Linked DNA regions of Oryctolagus cuniculus. The protein of the gene in region 2 binds, or shares a complex with, the protein of the main gene of each other region. Links are inferred from orthologs where the notes say so. Each region holds a gene or a part of one and is shown on either strand. Other genes may lie near its edges.

The links.
Region 1: the proteins of ACADM (region 2) and ETFA are in contact, whole or in part, in a crystal structure (PDB 2A1T), measured with the Homo sapiens proteins. The link is inferred for Oryctolagus cuniculus from reciprocal best matches to the Homo sapiens genes ACADM and ETFA. Residues at the interface, in NP_000007.1 of Homo sapiens: Pro163, Lys173, Pro211, Gln232, Arg235, Glu237, Val251, Glu253; in NP_000117.1 of Homo sapiens: Arg223, Lys226, Arg249, Asp253, Ala283, Ile284, Gln285, Glu304.
Region 3: the proteins of ACADM (region 2) and ETFB are in contact, whole or in part, in a crystal structure (PDB 2A1T), measured with the Homo sapiens proteins. The link is inferred for Oryctolagus cuniculus from reciprocal best matches to the Homo sapiens genes ACADM and ETFB. Residues at the interface, in NP_000007.1 of Homo sapiens: Glu43, Gln44, Lys46, Glu47, Phe48, Thr51, Lys54, Phe55, Glu58, Glu59, Arg80, Glu83, Leu84, Gly85, Leu86, Leu98, Leu100, Ile108; in NP_001976.1 of Homo sapiens: Glu73, Arg76, Thr77, Tyr192, Ala193, Thr194, Leu195, Pro196, Ile198, Met199, Lys202.

The regions. Positions count from the first base shown.
Region 1 is NC_091443.1:106,938,703-106,943,433, forward strand, and holds the start of ETFA (electron transfer flavoprotein subunit alpha, mitochondrial), read right to left. Parts: upstream 2,890-4,731; 5' UTR 2,730-2,889; coding exon 2,691-2,729; intron 1-2,690. UniProt on the Homo sapiens protein: Heterodimeric electron transfer flavoprotein that accepts electrons from several mitochondrial dehydrogenases, including acyl-CoA dehydrogenases, glutaryl-CoA and sarcosine dehydrogenase.
Region 2 is NC_091438.1:96,227,171-96,230,728, reverse strand, and holds part of ACADM (medium-chain specific acyl-CoA dehydrogenase, mitochondrial), read left to right. Parts: intron 1-3,031; coding exon 3,032-3,280; intron 3,281-3,558. UniProt on the Homo sapiens protein: Medium-chain specific acyl-CoA dehydrogenase is one of the acyl-CoA dehydrogenases that catalyze the first step of mitochondrial fatty acid beta-oxidation, an aerobic process breaking down fatty acids into acetyl-CoA and allowing the production of energy from fats.
Region 3 is NC_091449.1:6,947,145-6,951,899, forward strand, and holds the start of ETFB (electron transfer flavoprotein subunit beta), read left to right. Parts: upstream 1-1,866; 5' UTR 1,867-1,958; coding exon 1,959-2,015; exon of another isoform or gene 2,016-2,421; intron 2,422-4,755. Other genes in the region: CLDND2 (claudin domain-containing protein 2), read left to right, coding at 186-354, 485-625, 943-1,062, 1,427-1,500. UniProt on the Homo sapiens protein: Heterodimeric electron transfer flavoprotein that accepts electrons from several mitochondrial dehydrogenases, including acyl-CoA dehydrogenases, glutaryl-CoA and sarcosine dehydrogenase.

The DNA of each region.
Region 1 (4,731 bases), on a different chromosome or scaffold from region 2:
TCTCACTGCTGCGAGGTCCCAGCCAAGAACGCTTAACCTGAATCTACTGAAGAAACACCTAACAAACTACACTGGGTGAGCGTCGACCAAACAGGAGGCACACACTCCCAAAAATGTCCATGTCATCAACGCCAAAGAAAGGCCGAGGAACGTTCCTCCTAAGACTAAAGAGACTGGCAGCTGCACGCAAGGCAGCCTGTCTCGGACCAGAGGGAGAAACTCTGTGATAAACAGTATTAAACAATGGGTGGCTGGCACTGTGGCGCAGCAGGTTAAGCTTCAGCCTGAGGTGCCAGAATCCCATATGGGTGCTGGTTCAAGTCCTGGCTGCTCCACTTCCGATCCAGCTCCCTGCTGATGGCCTGGGAAAGCAGAAGATGGGCCAAGCCCTTGGGCCCCAGTACCCATGTGGGAGACCTGGAAAAAGCTCCTGCTGCTGGCTTTGGATCGGCCCAGCTCGGCTGTTGCGACCACTGGGGAGTGAACCAGCGGATGAAGACCTCTCTCTCTCTCCCTGTCTCTGTAACTCTACCTCTCAAATATATAAATAAATCTTAAGAAAAAATTGGCAAAATGTGGACATCTACAGATTGGAAAATAATATTGTATCATTGTTAAACTTCCTGATACTGCCAATTATACCATGGTCAGGAAAACAAGCCTCCCTATTCTTTTTTTTTTTTTTTAACAGGCAGAGTGGACAGTGAGAGAGAGAGACAGAGAGAAAGGTCTTCCTTTTGCCATTGGTTCACCCTCCAATGGCCGCAGCGGCCAGCGCGCTGCGGCCGGCGCACCGCGCTGATCCGATGGCAGGAGCCAGGCGCTTCTCCTGGTCTCCCATGCGGTGCAGGGCCCAAGCACTTGGGCCATCCTCCACTGCCCTCCCTGGCCACAGCAGAGAGCTGGCCTGGAAGAGGAGCAACCGGGACAGAATCCGGCGCCCTGACCGGGACTAGAACCTGGTATGCCGGCGCCGCAAGGTGGAGGATTAGCCTAGTGAGCCGCGGTGCCAGCCTTAGCCTCCCTATTCTTTTAAAATAAGCACTGAACAATTCAGGAGTGAAGGGCATGTCTGCAACACACTCTCAAATAATTCAGAAAGAAAGTAGTACTTCCGTATGCAGGTAAGCATGTAGAGAGAAAACACGTGTGTCAAACTGCTAACAGTGGGTGAGATTCAGGAAAGAATCCTGGTATACTTTGTTCTATTTCTGCAACTTTTCTGTAAGCCTGAACTTACTTCAAAAAAGGTAGAGCTAAACAGGCAAAGTGTCTCTAGCTGTCCGTTTCCTTACTGTTCCCTCCGTATCTCATAGGCTTGAAACACAAATCTCAGACATGCTTACCGACTCTGGAGCAGCTGCTCTGAGCTTGACTTCAAATTATAAAAATAAGTCAGGGTCAAAGTCCTTGGCAAACCACAAGAAAGGTTTGGAAACACTACTGACTATGCACACTGGCCGACTGTGCCAACAGTGAGAATCACTTCGACTAGTCACCCTTTTTCATCTGTTAGTTCCACAGACTCTCCCCACTACAGCTATCACGCCACGTACGGCAGCCGTGTAACCTGTCCACAAGGCTGCCTTCCGGCTGCACACGGACAAGTCAAGCTGTGCTTCCTGGAATCCTTCCAAAAACTCGGCTGGACCTGGCTCACGTCTGGAGTCTCTGAGGAAAACAGCAAAACAAAAAAGACGGGGCAAGGACCTGGAGGGCCTGAGTGTGAGTTTTTTAAGGGGAGGAAGAGGGTTGTGACAGAACAAGGAACCCGCACAAGGAAAGGAGCCGTCTACAGACATCTGGGGGGACGAGCAGGTAGGTCCTGGGGTGCGTGGGAACGCGCACACACACAGAAGAGATGTGACGGGCTGGCGCTGTGAGTGGGCGAGCATCCTCCGGGGACGCCAGCACCCCGTATGGACGCCGGTTCAAGTCCCGGCTGCTCCTCTTCCGATCCAGCTCTCTGCTGTGGCCTGGGAAAGCAGTGGACGATGGCCCAAGTCCTTGGGCCCCTGCACCCACGTGGGAGACCTGAAGGAAGCTCCTGGCTCCTGGCTTTGGCCTGGCCCAGCCCGGGTCTTGCAGCCCTTTGGAGAGTGACCCAGTGGAAGGCAGCTCTCTCTGTCTCTCCTTTTCTCTCTGCAACTCTTTTTTTTTTTTTTTTTTTGTCAAGAATGATATAGACTTTCATCCGTTTTAAACTCTGACTTTCAAATAAAATAAATCGTTGAATAACAAGAAATGGTAGCAAAGGCACAAAGCATCAGGGACGTGTCCAACCCAAGTCTAGCTAGCAATCTTTGTGTCCCACTTAAATAAAACTCGAGAAAGCCTAGCACGTGTGCAAGACCAACGTCTGTCCCTGGCCATCGGCCTCCCAAGACCGCTCTCCCACAGCGTGCAGACCCTAATTCATTAACTAACTCCCTCTGGGCCGGAGAGAGGAAGGTGACGAACCCCGGACCCGCACCGCCCGCAAGTCCTCGGCCCCCCGCCCGCGCAGCGGCGCCCACCCGGCCTGCACCCGGCGGCGGACGGTCACGCTGACCTCTACCCTCTGACCCGAGCCGGCGGCCCGGAAGGAGTCAAGGGCAGGGCCCAGAACTCTGCTGGGACCCGAGGGAGCCATGACCTTCGACAAGCCCCTCTCGGGGTCGGCACAGGGAGCCCCTCTCGTCCGGACTCACCGCCCGCCGCAGCTGCCCAGGAGCTACCGCTCGCAGCATGGTCGCTGTGCTGGTTCGCGCCGCGGTCCCCTCAGCCTCGCCAGCCCCGAGCCCCGCCGCACGGCACCGCCTCCTCCAGTCACCCTAAAGCCTCGCGAGACGCGCGGACGGACGAGAACGCGAGCCCGGGGCCGGCTGAGCGAGCGGACGGTTCCCGCCTGCCGATTGGACGGTCGCGCAGCCAATGGGAGCGGCGGAAAGTTGAAGCCTGGGCTTGGAGTAGGGCAAAGGTGAGGCCGCTGTGTGCCGCGCCCGGCCGCGGAGCTGCAGAGGCGGCGCGTCCGCACGCGGCTGGCGGCTGCGCCCGGGCTGTCCTAGCCCCGTCGGGGTTGCCCACAGCGGTTGCCATCAGCTTTCCGTCCTGGCTTCCCAGCCCCGTCCACTGTCCCGCTGCATTCATTCTTGCCCACTCATTCATTCATTTATTCGCAGGGTCAGCTGTTACACCTGTAATGAGCTAAAAACACTTCGCCCAGTGAAGGGAATATAGTAAAAGAACGCAGAAGATCTTGCCCTGCCCGTCGGGGGATTTTATGAGACTCTGGAGGAATGCTACAAATAATTAAGCCTAGCATGACCCTAAAGGGAGAAGGGGTTCTGACGCTGGTGGTCGTTTGAACTGAATTTAGACGGAGGAGCCGTGTGGACACACAGTGGGCACAGTGCCAGGGCGAGGTGCAGAATTCTGTGTGCCGCCTGCGGAAGGGACCGGCCTGGCATGAGGATGTGCGTGTCCCTGGGCAGTTGCACCCCCACCCTGGGGTCAATGCCATGGGTGCAGGGTGCAGCGGCCCCTGGCCTTTGGGTCCACTTATCGACCCGCCCACTGGGCCTGACCCCAGCAAGCCCTGCACGCCTCTAGCTCTCCTCCCACCTGACCTTGAAAACCCATTGCCTGGACCAGCTGATCCTTTCCCCTTCTCTGCCACCCTCATGGTTCTGGGCTGAGGATCCAGGAAACGTGTCTGTGGGAGAGGCCGTTTAGTATCCCCGTTAGCTCTGCATTTGCTCCAAGCCAGGCCTCCACCGATCTCAAACCTGTGCCCTATGCAAATGGAAGAAGTGGGAAGGAGGCAATTCAAGTTAAAAAATGAAAGAGATTTTTGACTCAAAGCCGTGTAAAAAGCGAGATGTAAGCTAACCCCCTTCCCTGCCCCCTGCCACTGGTGACAAAGCAGAAACAGAGGGGAGAGCAGCCTCCCCAGCCCCGCCCCCTCGGGGCAGCTCTGGCACCTGCCGGGCTGCAGTGAATCAGCAGTGGCTGTGCCCAGCGGAGGCACAGTGCCCATGGGACATGGTGGTTCCTGGCAGAGGAACGGCAGAAAATGGCCCAGGTCTGTGGCAGGAGACCAGACCGGCCCTGCACACACAGGGGAGGCCCCTCGCATCTGTGCGGCTCTCACAGCTGAGCTGGGGTCAGAGCCTGCTGCCCCCACGGTTACCTGGGGATCCCAGGCCCAGCTGCCAGTCCTCTGGTCAGGCGTGCTGCACCTGTCTGTCCATTATTACAACCGGGCGAGGGAGGACCCGGGGCACCCAAGGCAATCCCTGTTGGCCAACCTAGGGACTCCTGCTCTTGCCCTCTGGCCCCTGCCCTAAGTTCCCCGGGTAGCTTACAGCTCAGTGGACTCTTGCCACATCCTTTGGCGGAAGGCTCCCCGTTGGAGGACAAAGACCTGCAGCCCTGCATGGTGGAGTCACAGCGTCGCACGCAGCTGTTTGATTCAAGACGCACTTGGCATCCCGGAGGACACGCCCCCGTCCTCGTAAAGCCCTGCCTCCCAGCTGGTGTTTCCACTGGGAAACCTGTGAGGCTGGCAGTGTGGAGTGACACAGATGAGACTCGTCGCGGACCCACTGCTGCACTTCCCTGGCAGTCATCAAGTCCCTGATCTGATGCAATGCCCTGTGGGAACCCGAGCTGGGTCAGGGACTCCATGAACCCTCAGCTGGGGGGTGCTGGCTGAGGCCTCGTGGCCCAGGGTGCATGCCCACCTCTGTC
Region 2 (3,558 bases):
CCATTATCTTCCATTTTCCTTAATAAAGTCAAAGATTCATTTATTAAATATAGAAAAGTCTTAGTCTTTGCTTACTACTTAACTCAAAATACAATCTTTTATTATTTGATTTCTTCCAATGATTTGCCTCCCTTTTAAATACTCTGCACAGGGGCCAGCACTGTGGCGTAGCGGGTAAGACCACCGCCTGCAGGGCTGGCATCCCATATGGGCGCTGGTTCGAGTCTCGGCTGCTCCTCTTCCAATCCAGCTCTTGTGGGAGACCCAGAAGAAGCTTCTGGCTCCTGGTTTTGGATTGGCACAGCTCCAGCTATTGCAGCCAACTGGGGAGTGAACCAGTGAATGGAAGACCTCTCTCTCTCTGCCTATCCTTCTTTGTGTAATTCTGACTTTCAAGTAAATAAATAAATCTTTTTTTAAAAAATTAAATAAATAAATACTCTGCACAGTGCTGAGTTGCCTGCATTTTCAATTAACAAATACGTATGAAGCCTTCAAAAAGTGCATGGAAAATGCAAATTATGAAAAAACTATTCATAAACTTCAAATTGTTTTGCACCAAAATGTACTTTTTTTAAAAGATTGATTTATTTATGTTGAAAATCAGGATTATAGAGAGAGAGACAGATAGACAGAAAGATCTTCCATTCACTTGTTTACTCCCATGATGGCCGCAATAGCCAGGACTGGGCCAGGCTGAAGTCAGGAGCCAGGAGCTTCATCCAGGTCTCCCACATGGGTAGCAGGGGCCCAAACACTTGAGCCATTTTCCACTGCTTTTCTGAAGCCATTAGCAGGGAGCTGGATCTGAAGCGGAGCAGCCAGGACTTTTAATTGGCACCCAGATGAGATGCTGGCATCACAGGTGGTGGCTTTACCCGGAGAGCCACAATGTCAGCCTTAAACTTACATTAATTAAATTTTCTATGAACTTTTTGAAGTACTCTTGTTTTGTCCCATCTGTGTACTCTGCTCTGTGTAACTCCAGTCTGCTAGAATTTTCTGTATGTAGCATAACATACACAAAGAATAACTTCATACTTAGAAACTATACTTAAATAATTGTTTAGCCATTTCACATTTTTTGTAAAGATTTATTTATTTAAGAGAGAGGTAGAGTCAGAGAGAGAGAGAGAGGTCTTCCATCTGCTGGTTCACTTCCTAAATGAACGCAATGGCCAGAGCTGAGCTGATCCGAAGCCAGAAGCCAGGAGCCAGGAGCTTCTTCTGGGTCTCCCACGCGGGTGCAGGGGCCCAAGGAGTTGGGCCATCTTCTACTGCTTTCCCAGGCCATAGCAGATAGCTGGATCAGAAGTGGAGCAGCCAGGACTTGAACTGATGCCCATATGGGATGCCAAGCGCAGGGGCCCAAGGACTTGGGCCATCTTCTACTGCTTTCCCAGGCCATAGCAGATAGCTGGATCAGAAGTGGAGCAGCCAGGACTTGAACCGATGCCCATATGGGATGCCAGCACTGCAGGCTGGGGCTTTAACCTGCTGCACCATAGTACAGCCTCCTCACATTTAATATTAGAAAATACAACCACCTATCAACACATACTCAGCTGTTTTTCATATGAAAATTTGGAACCAATACTTTGGGTGTAACTATAGGAAGAGATAATTACTGTGAACATTTTATTCTGTTTATTTTTTTTTTTTTTTGATGTATATATTTGTCTAAAGTTGTAACCATACTACATGTTGCAAAATTCCACCTAATACTATGTGGTGAACATATTTCTGTCTTGTAACATGTCATGGCTGTACAACTCAAAGAGAACTTACCAATGATTCTTGAAGGTATTTGTATTACTTTTCCTATTTGATTATGTACTAAGGATAAAAAGCAGCTTTTATTTCTCCTTTCTGCATCATTATCTGATACAATGCCATGTTGTTTTTTTCTATCTGCAATAATTTCCTTTAAAAAGTCTGAGAAACTCAGGACATACATATATTTGTGGTTTTCATGTCCCAAATGCATACTGCCATTCCAGTCATGAGAAAACACTAGACAAACACTGAGGAACATTCTACAAAAAATAATCAGCATTCTTCACATGTTCAAAGGTCATAAAAGATAAGGAAAAACAGGAATTGCAAACAGCCTAGGAAAGACAAAGAAGGTTCTACTTCCAGTCCAGCTTCCTGCTAATGCTTCTGTCAGGGCAGCAGACAACTGCTTGGACCACTTCCACCTAGGTGGCAAACCAGGATGGAATTCCTGGTTCCTGGCTTTGGTCTGGCCCAGCTTTGGCTGTTATGGCCATTTGGTAAATGAACTAGTGGATAGAAGATCAGTTCATCTTCTCTTTCTCTCTCTCACTCACTGCCTTTCAAGTAAATAAATGCATAAATCTATAAAACAACTTGAGTAAAGGTCTATAATATTGGGCCAGCACTGTGGCGTAGCAGGTAAAGTTGGCACCTGCAGTGCTGGCATCCCATATGGGCACCGGTTCGTGTCCTGGCTGCTTCGCTTCAAATTCAGCTCTCTGGTATGGCCTGGGAAAGCAGTAGAAGATGGCCCTAGTCCTTGGGTCCCTGCACCTGCATGGGAGACCCAGAAGAAGCTCCTGGTTCTTGGCTTTGAATCAGCCCAGCTCCAGCCATTGTGGCCATTTGGGAAGTGAACCAGCAGATGGAAGACTTCTCTCTCTCTCTCTCCCTCTCCCTCGCTTCCCCTCTCTCTCCTCCTCCCCCTCCCTCTCCCCCTCCCTCTCCCCCTCTCCCTCTTCGTCCCTCCCTCCCTCTCTCCCTTTCTGCTTCTACCTCTCTAACTCTGCCTTTCAAACAAATAAATAAATCTTTAAAAAAGAGCCTATAATGTATTTGATAATATTGTGCCAGTGTTAATGTCCTGTTGATCATTGCAGTATGATTTTATAATGTGTTAACATTAGAGAAAGATGGGGGGAACTCTGTTGAAAATCTAAAATTAATTCTAACTTTTAAAAAATGTCCTAGGAGAAAAGCTTTTAAGTTTTGCCTATGGATATTTTTAACTCTTTTTTCACTTTAATTCTAGCACCAAGCAGTATCATTTTTGCTGGCTGAGATGGCAATGAAAGTTGAACTAGCTAGAATGAGTTACCAGAGAGCAGCTTGGGAGGTGGATTCTGGTCGGCGAAATACCTATTATGCTTCTATTGCAAAGGCATTTGCTGGAGATATTGCAAATCAGGTTGCTACTGATGCTGTACAGATTTTTGGAGGCAATGGATTTAATACAGAATATCCTGTAGAAAAACTAATGAGGGATGCCAAGATCTATCAGGTAAGATTAAAAATGGTTTTTGTTGTTTGTTAGGGGATAGGATATCCAGTAGATTTTTTATTATGTGGGGATTTTATGCCGCTAGTGATAGTAAATGTCATGGATGGCTGTGAACTGATTTTTAGGAATAATCAGCACAAAGAAGCATGCTGTTAGTGATTAGGTATAGGTCTTAAGAGAAAGCAAGCTAACAAAGCAAATGGTACAGGGGCTGTTGTGGTGCAGTGGGTTAAGCTGCTGCCTGCAAAGCCAGCATCCCATGTGAGCACTGGTTCAAG
Region 3 (4,755 bases), on a different chromosome or scaffold from region 2:
ATGTAGGGGCGGCCGGCGGCACTGGGCAGATGGGGCTTCCTGGCCACATGGGGCTTCCTGGCCACAGGTCTCAGGGTCCCCAGGCGGGACAGTGGGGAGGCTGGGGCGGGGGCAGGGCGTCGTGGGGGTGCCCGGGAGGTGGTGGCCAGTCCTGCCCGTGTGGCCCCTGCAGCAGCCTCCTTGGCATGGGAGTGAAACACAGCCTGCAGATGGGCGGCGCGTTCCTCAGCTTCCTGGCCAACATCCTCACGGTGCTGTCCACCGCCAGCAACTACTGGACGCGCCACCATGGGGGTCACAGCGGCCTGTGGCAGGAGTGCAGCCACGGCACCTGCTCCAACATCCCCTGCCAGAGTGAGCGGCCCGGGGCCGGGCGGCGTCCGCCCTCCGCGCGCGCCACCTCCAGGCCTCTCGGTCCGCGCCCGGCCCAGCCCCGGGTGGGGGCGCCCAGTGCGGCAGGCTGACGCGGCCCGCTCGCCCGCAGCCATGCTGGCCGTGACCGGGGCGTGCATGGTGCTGGCGACCGGCTTCGGCATCGTGGCCACGGTGATGGGAATGAAGATTCTGTGCCATCAGGGGGAGTCGCTGCGGGGCCAGGTCACGAGCGCCTTCCTCTTCCTCGCCGGTGAGACGGCGGCGGCGCCCGGGGGCGGAGCTGGGAGGGGTGGGCGTGGCCTGACAGACGGGGCGGGAGGCCGCGGGGAGGGGCGTGGCTGGAGGCGTGGGCTGGACGCGGGGGCGTGGCTGGAGGCGTGGACGGGACGCGGGGTCGTGGCTGGCGGAGGGGCAGGGCCCGGGGCGGACGGCGAGGTGTGGGCGGGACGCGGGGGCGTGGCTGGCGGAGGGGCAGGGCCCGGGGCGGACGGCGAGGCGTGCGTGGGCCCGCGGCGGCCCCACCTGCGCCTGGCCACGCTCACCCGAGGCGCTGGCGGGCCGGCCCAGGTTTGCTGCTGCTGATCGCTTTGACGGGCTACACAGTGAAGACTGCCTGGAAGAACGACGTCTTCTTCTCCTGGTCCTATTTCTTGGGGTGGCTGGCTTTACCCTTCTCTATTCTCGCGGGTAACCTGGGCCGCGGGGAGAGGGGACACTGCCCTGGGACGCCCCGCCCTCGCCAGGGCCCGACCCTAGCCCCGCCCCTCCTTGGGCCCCGCCCCCGCCCAGCCCCGCCCCCGCAGAGCTGGGCAAGCCGCGCGCCCCCAGCCCCCGCACTGGGACCCCCTTCCCCTCCGCGCCCCCGCCTTCCCGGCCCCTCCCCCACCCCCGACCCCGCAGAACTGGCCGAGCCGCGCGCCCCCAGCCCCCGCACTGGGACCCCCTTCCCCTCCCCCGCCTTCCCGGCCCCGCCCCCACCCCCGACCCCGCAGAACTGGCAGAGCCGCGCGCCCCCAGCCCCCGCGCCGGGACCCCCTTCCCCTCCCGCCAGGCTTCTGCTTCCTGCTGGCGGACATGATCGTGCAGAGCACGGACGCCATCAGCGGCTTCCCGGTGTGCCTGTGAGCGCAGCCCGTCCCGACGCGGAATAAAGGAACGGATTTCGGCCACGCGGCTCCGCGCGCCTCTCGGGGGGACAGGGCCACGGGGGGCGGGGGCCGTGCACGCGGCTGACCTGGGGTCGTCCCCCGGGGTCACGGGTACAAAGGGCGCGGCGACTCGGAGAGGCGGGCAGGCGGCCGGCCCCCGCACGACCTTTCCCCTAATTTCCCGCCACGCCCCCTTCTGGCCACGCCCCGTCCCCCTCCCGCTCCAGACCGGCTCTCCGTGGGTCCGCGTCCGCTGGCCACACCCCTCCTTACCTCCGGCCTCCTGATTGGTCACCTTTCCGGGCGGGGCGCGGACTGCGCAGCCGCGGAGTGGCGGGCGGCGCGGCGCGCAGGCGCAGAGAGGGACGGGGGCGGGGCGTTCGGGCGGGGAGGTCCGGGGTGCCGCCGGCCCCGGCCGCTGGCTGCTGCGGGAAGATGGCGGAGCTGCGCGCGCTCGTGGCTGTCAAGAGGGTTATCGACTTCGCCGTGAAGGTGACCGGGGCCTCCCCCCTTCCTGCTTCCAAGTGGTGCCCCGCGGCCGTGGGCTTCCGGGATCACGAGCGCGCCATGGGCGGGGGTCTGCTCGTAACCCCTGACCCAGTCGTCAAAGTCACGGGCAGACGCCGAGGACTGTGAGGTCGCGACCCCGTGCACACTCTCCCGATGACTGTCCTAGCGGCCGGAGCAGCCACGAGCCTTGCTTAACGCGGGGAAACTGAGGCACGGCGCGCCCACCCGGCCGGGGAGGGCCAGGGCCGGGGGTCCCGTCCACGACCCCCCGGTTCTTCGCTCGGACTCGGCGCGTGGCTCCGAGGCGAGCTTTCTGACCGCAGCCCCCGGAGTGTGCAGACTGGGGGGACCCCCAGAAGCCGGCGTTCCCCGTCCGCGGCCCCCGGGGGTGAGCGCCAAGGCTCTGGCTGGGGAGGGGCCGACAGGGGTGAAAGGTCAAGCTTGGGGGTGGTGGGGCAGGGGCTTCAGGTCCCCAGAGCCCGGCTTGGAGGCGGGAAGCAGCCCCTCCGTTTCTCTCAGTGCTTGGCCTGAGCTGCCCATGTGGCTCCGCTGTGCCAGCAGCGCGGGCGCTCACCTCTGGGTGCCCCCCCAGCCCGTCCCGGGGCGCTGAGGCCCACTGGGGCCCTGTCTTCCCCAGAGCACCCAGCCAGGACAGAAACCCAGCCAGGCCAGCCCAGCTCCGGACCGCCTGCCGCTCCCTCCCGGGCGTGGGCCAGGGCTGAGTGGCGCTTCTCCAGGGGTCGCGCGACCCCGCGCTCCTGCTTGGAGCCCCCCTCCCCTGGACTCCTGCAGCCCCCTAGGGCTCCCTCCGCCCCGGGCCTGGGCGCAGGTCTGTCTCCACTCAGTCAGTCCGGCACAGAGCCCTGCGCACGGGTGCCTCCAGCGTGTTCGGCCCCGCCTGCACCTGCCTGCACCTGCGCCTGCACACTGCCCCCCTTCCATCCCGCTGGGCGTGTCTGTCGACGCCCCTTTCGGAACAAACAGGGGATCCAGACACTGCAGCTACCGGAACACCAGGCCTGGACGCCGTCCACGCCCCTCCAGGGTCCTCTCTACCTCCCCTGGCCCCTTGCCCTAGTCTCCTCGCACACCCGCAGTCTCTCCCCTCAGCCTGGCCTTAGGGATCCCGGCGGCCCCGCTCAGGCGGCCATGTCCCCTCTGGGACCCTCACCCCACCTGCTCCTCCTTTCCCTGGCTCCGGCCCCCCCTGCTTCCGGTCCCAGCGTCACCACCTCCAGGAAGCCCTCCATGCACCTCCTCAGGTTACTGAGGTGTGTCTCAGGGCCCCTGCAGAACCCTGGCTTGCCTCTACCGCCCTCCCCCACACACACCAGGCCCTCGTGGCCACACCCACCTCCCACCCCCAGCCTGGCAGCTGTTGCACTGCTCACCCCGTCGTCACCTCTGTGGGGCCTTCCGTGGTCGTGGTCGCCTGCTTGAAGCCACAGCCCCAGAGTCCCCCCCCCCCCCCCCCCGCCGGACAGTGGAATTTACTCCCTACTGCTTTAGTGCCTGTCCCCTTCCTCTGGAATGGGCAGTGGCAAGAGGTCGTGGGATGTGTTCGCCGCTGGCAGGTGCACCACTGGAAACGGGACAGTGCGAGGCGCGTGCTAGGTGGTGGCTGGCGCTGCTGGAGGCCGCGGGGGACACTGTGGAGTCGCTGAGGGCAGGTGCCTCTGTTTCCCGGTCCGAACGGCCTCTGCCCCCCTCGGGGCTCCCGCTCTGGCCGTGTGTGGGAAGGCAGGTGCCTCTGTGTTTCCCGATCCGAACGGCCTCTGCCCCCCCCCCCGGGCGTGGGGCTCCCGCTCCGGCCGTGTGTGGGAAGGCAGGTGCCTCTGTTTCCCGGTCCCCACGGCCTCTGCCCCCCTCGGGGCTCCCACTCCGGCCGTGCGTGGGAAGGCAGGTGCCTCTGTGTGTTTCCCGGTCCCCACGGCCTCTGCCCCCCCCCTCGGGGCTCCCGCTCCGGCCGTGCATGGGAAGGCAGGTGCCTCTGTGTGTTTCCTGGTCCCCACGGCCTCTGCCCTCCTCGGGGCTCCCGCTCCGGCTGTGCGTGGGAAGGCAGGTGCCTCTGTGTGTTTCCTGGTCCCCACGGCCTCTGCCCCCCCTCGGGGCTCCCGCTCTGGCCGTGCATGGGAAGGCAGGTGCCTCTGTGTGTTTCCCGGTCCCCACGGCCTCTGCCCCCCCCGGCGGGGGGGCTCCCGCTCTGGCCGTGCGTGGGAAGGCAGGTGCCTCTGTGTGTTTCCCGGTCCCCACGGCCTCCGCCCCCCTCCCCGGGGGGCTCCTGCGGCACCCCCTCCGGCCTGTTTTCTCCAGATGTCTCATGGGAAGGTGTGCTGGCTGCCCCTCCTGCCCCCGCGTGGCCCTGGCTGCTGTGCTGGCTCTGTGCCCCAGCACGTGGCCGGCCACGCACAAGGACAGCCTGCATCCAACCCAGTCCCTGGGGGCTGTGTCCAGGGTTCGAGAAGAGTTGCCAGGAATCTACAGGGAGCCTCCTGGACACAGGGCAGCCGGTCCCGAGGCCCTGTCCTCCCTGCCGGGGCACGCTTGGGGACAGACCGCAGGTGTCGTGGCCAAGGCACATGGCCTTCCTGCCCCTCGGTCACTCCATCTGAAGTGAGGGTGGGACGGGCAGTGGCCAGCCCACAGGCCTCCAGGTGAAGCGATTAACATGCCACAGCACTGCCCGCGCGGGCCCTGGCTGCTTTGGGTACTCCGAAATAAA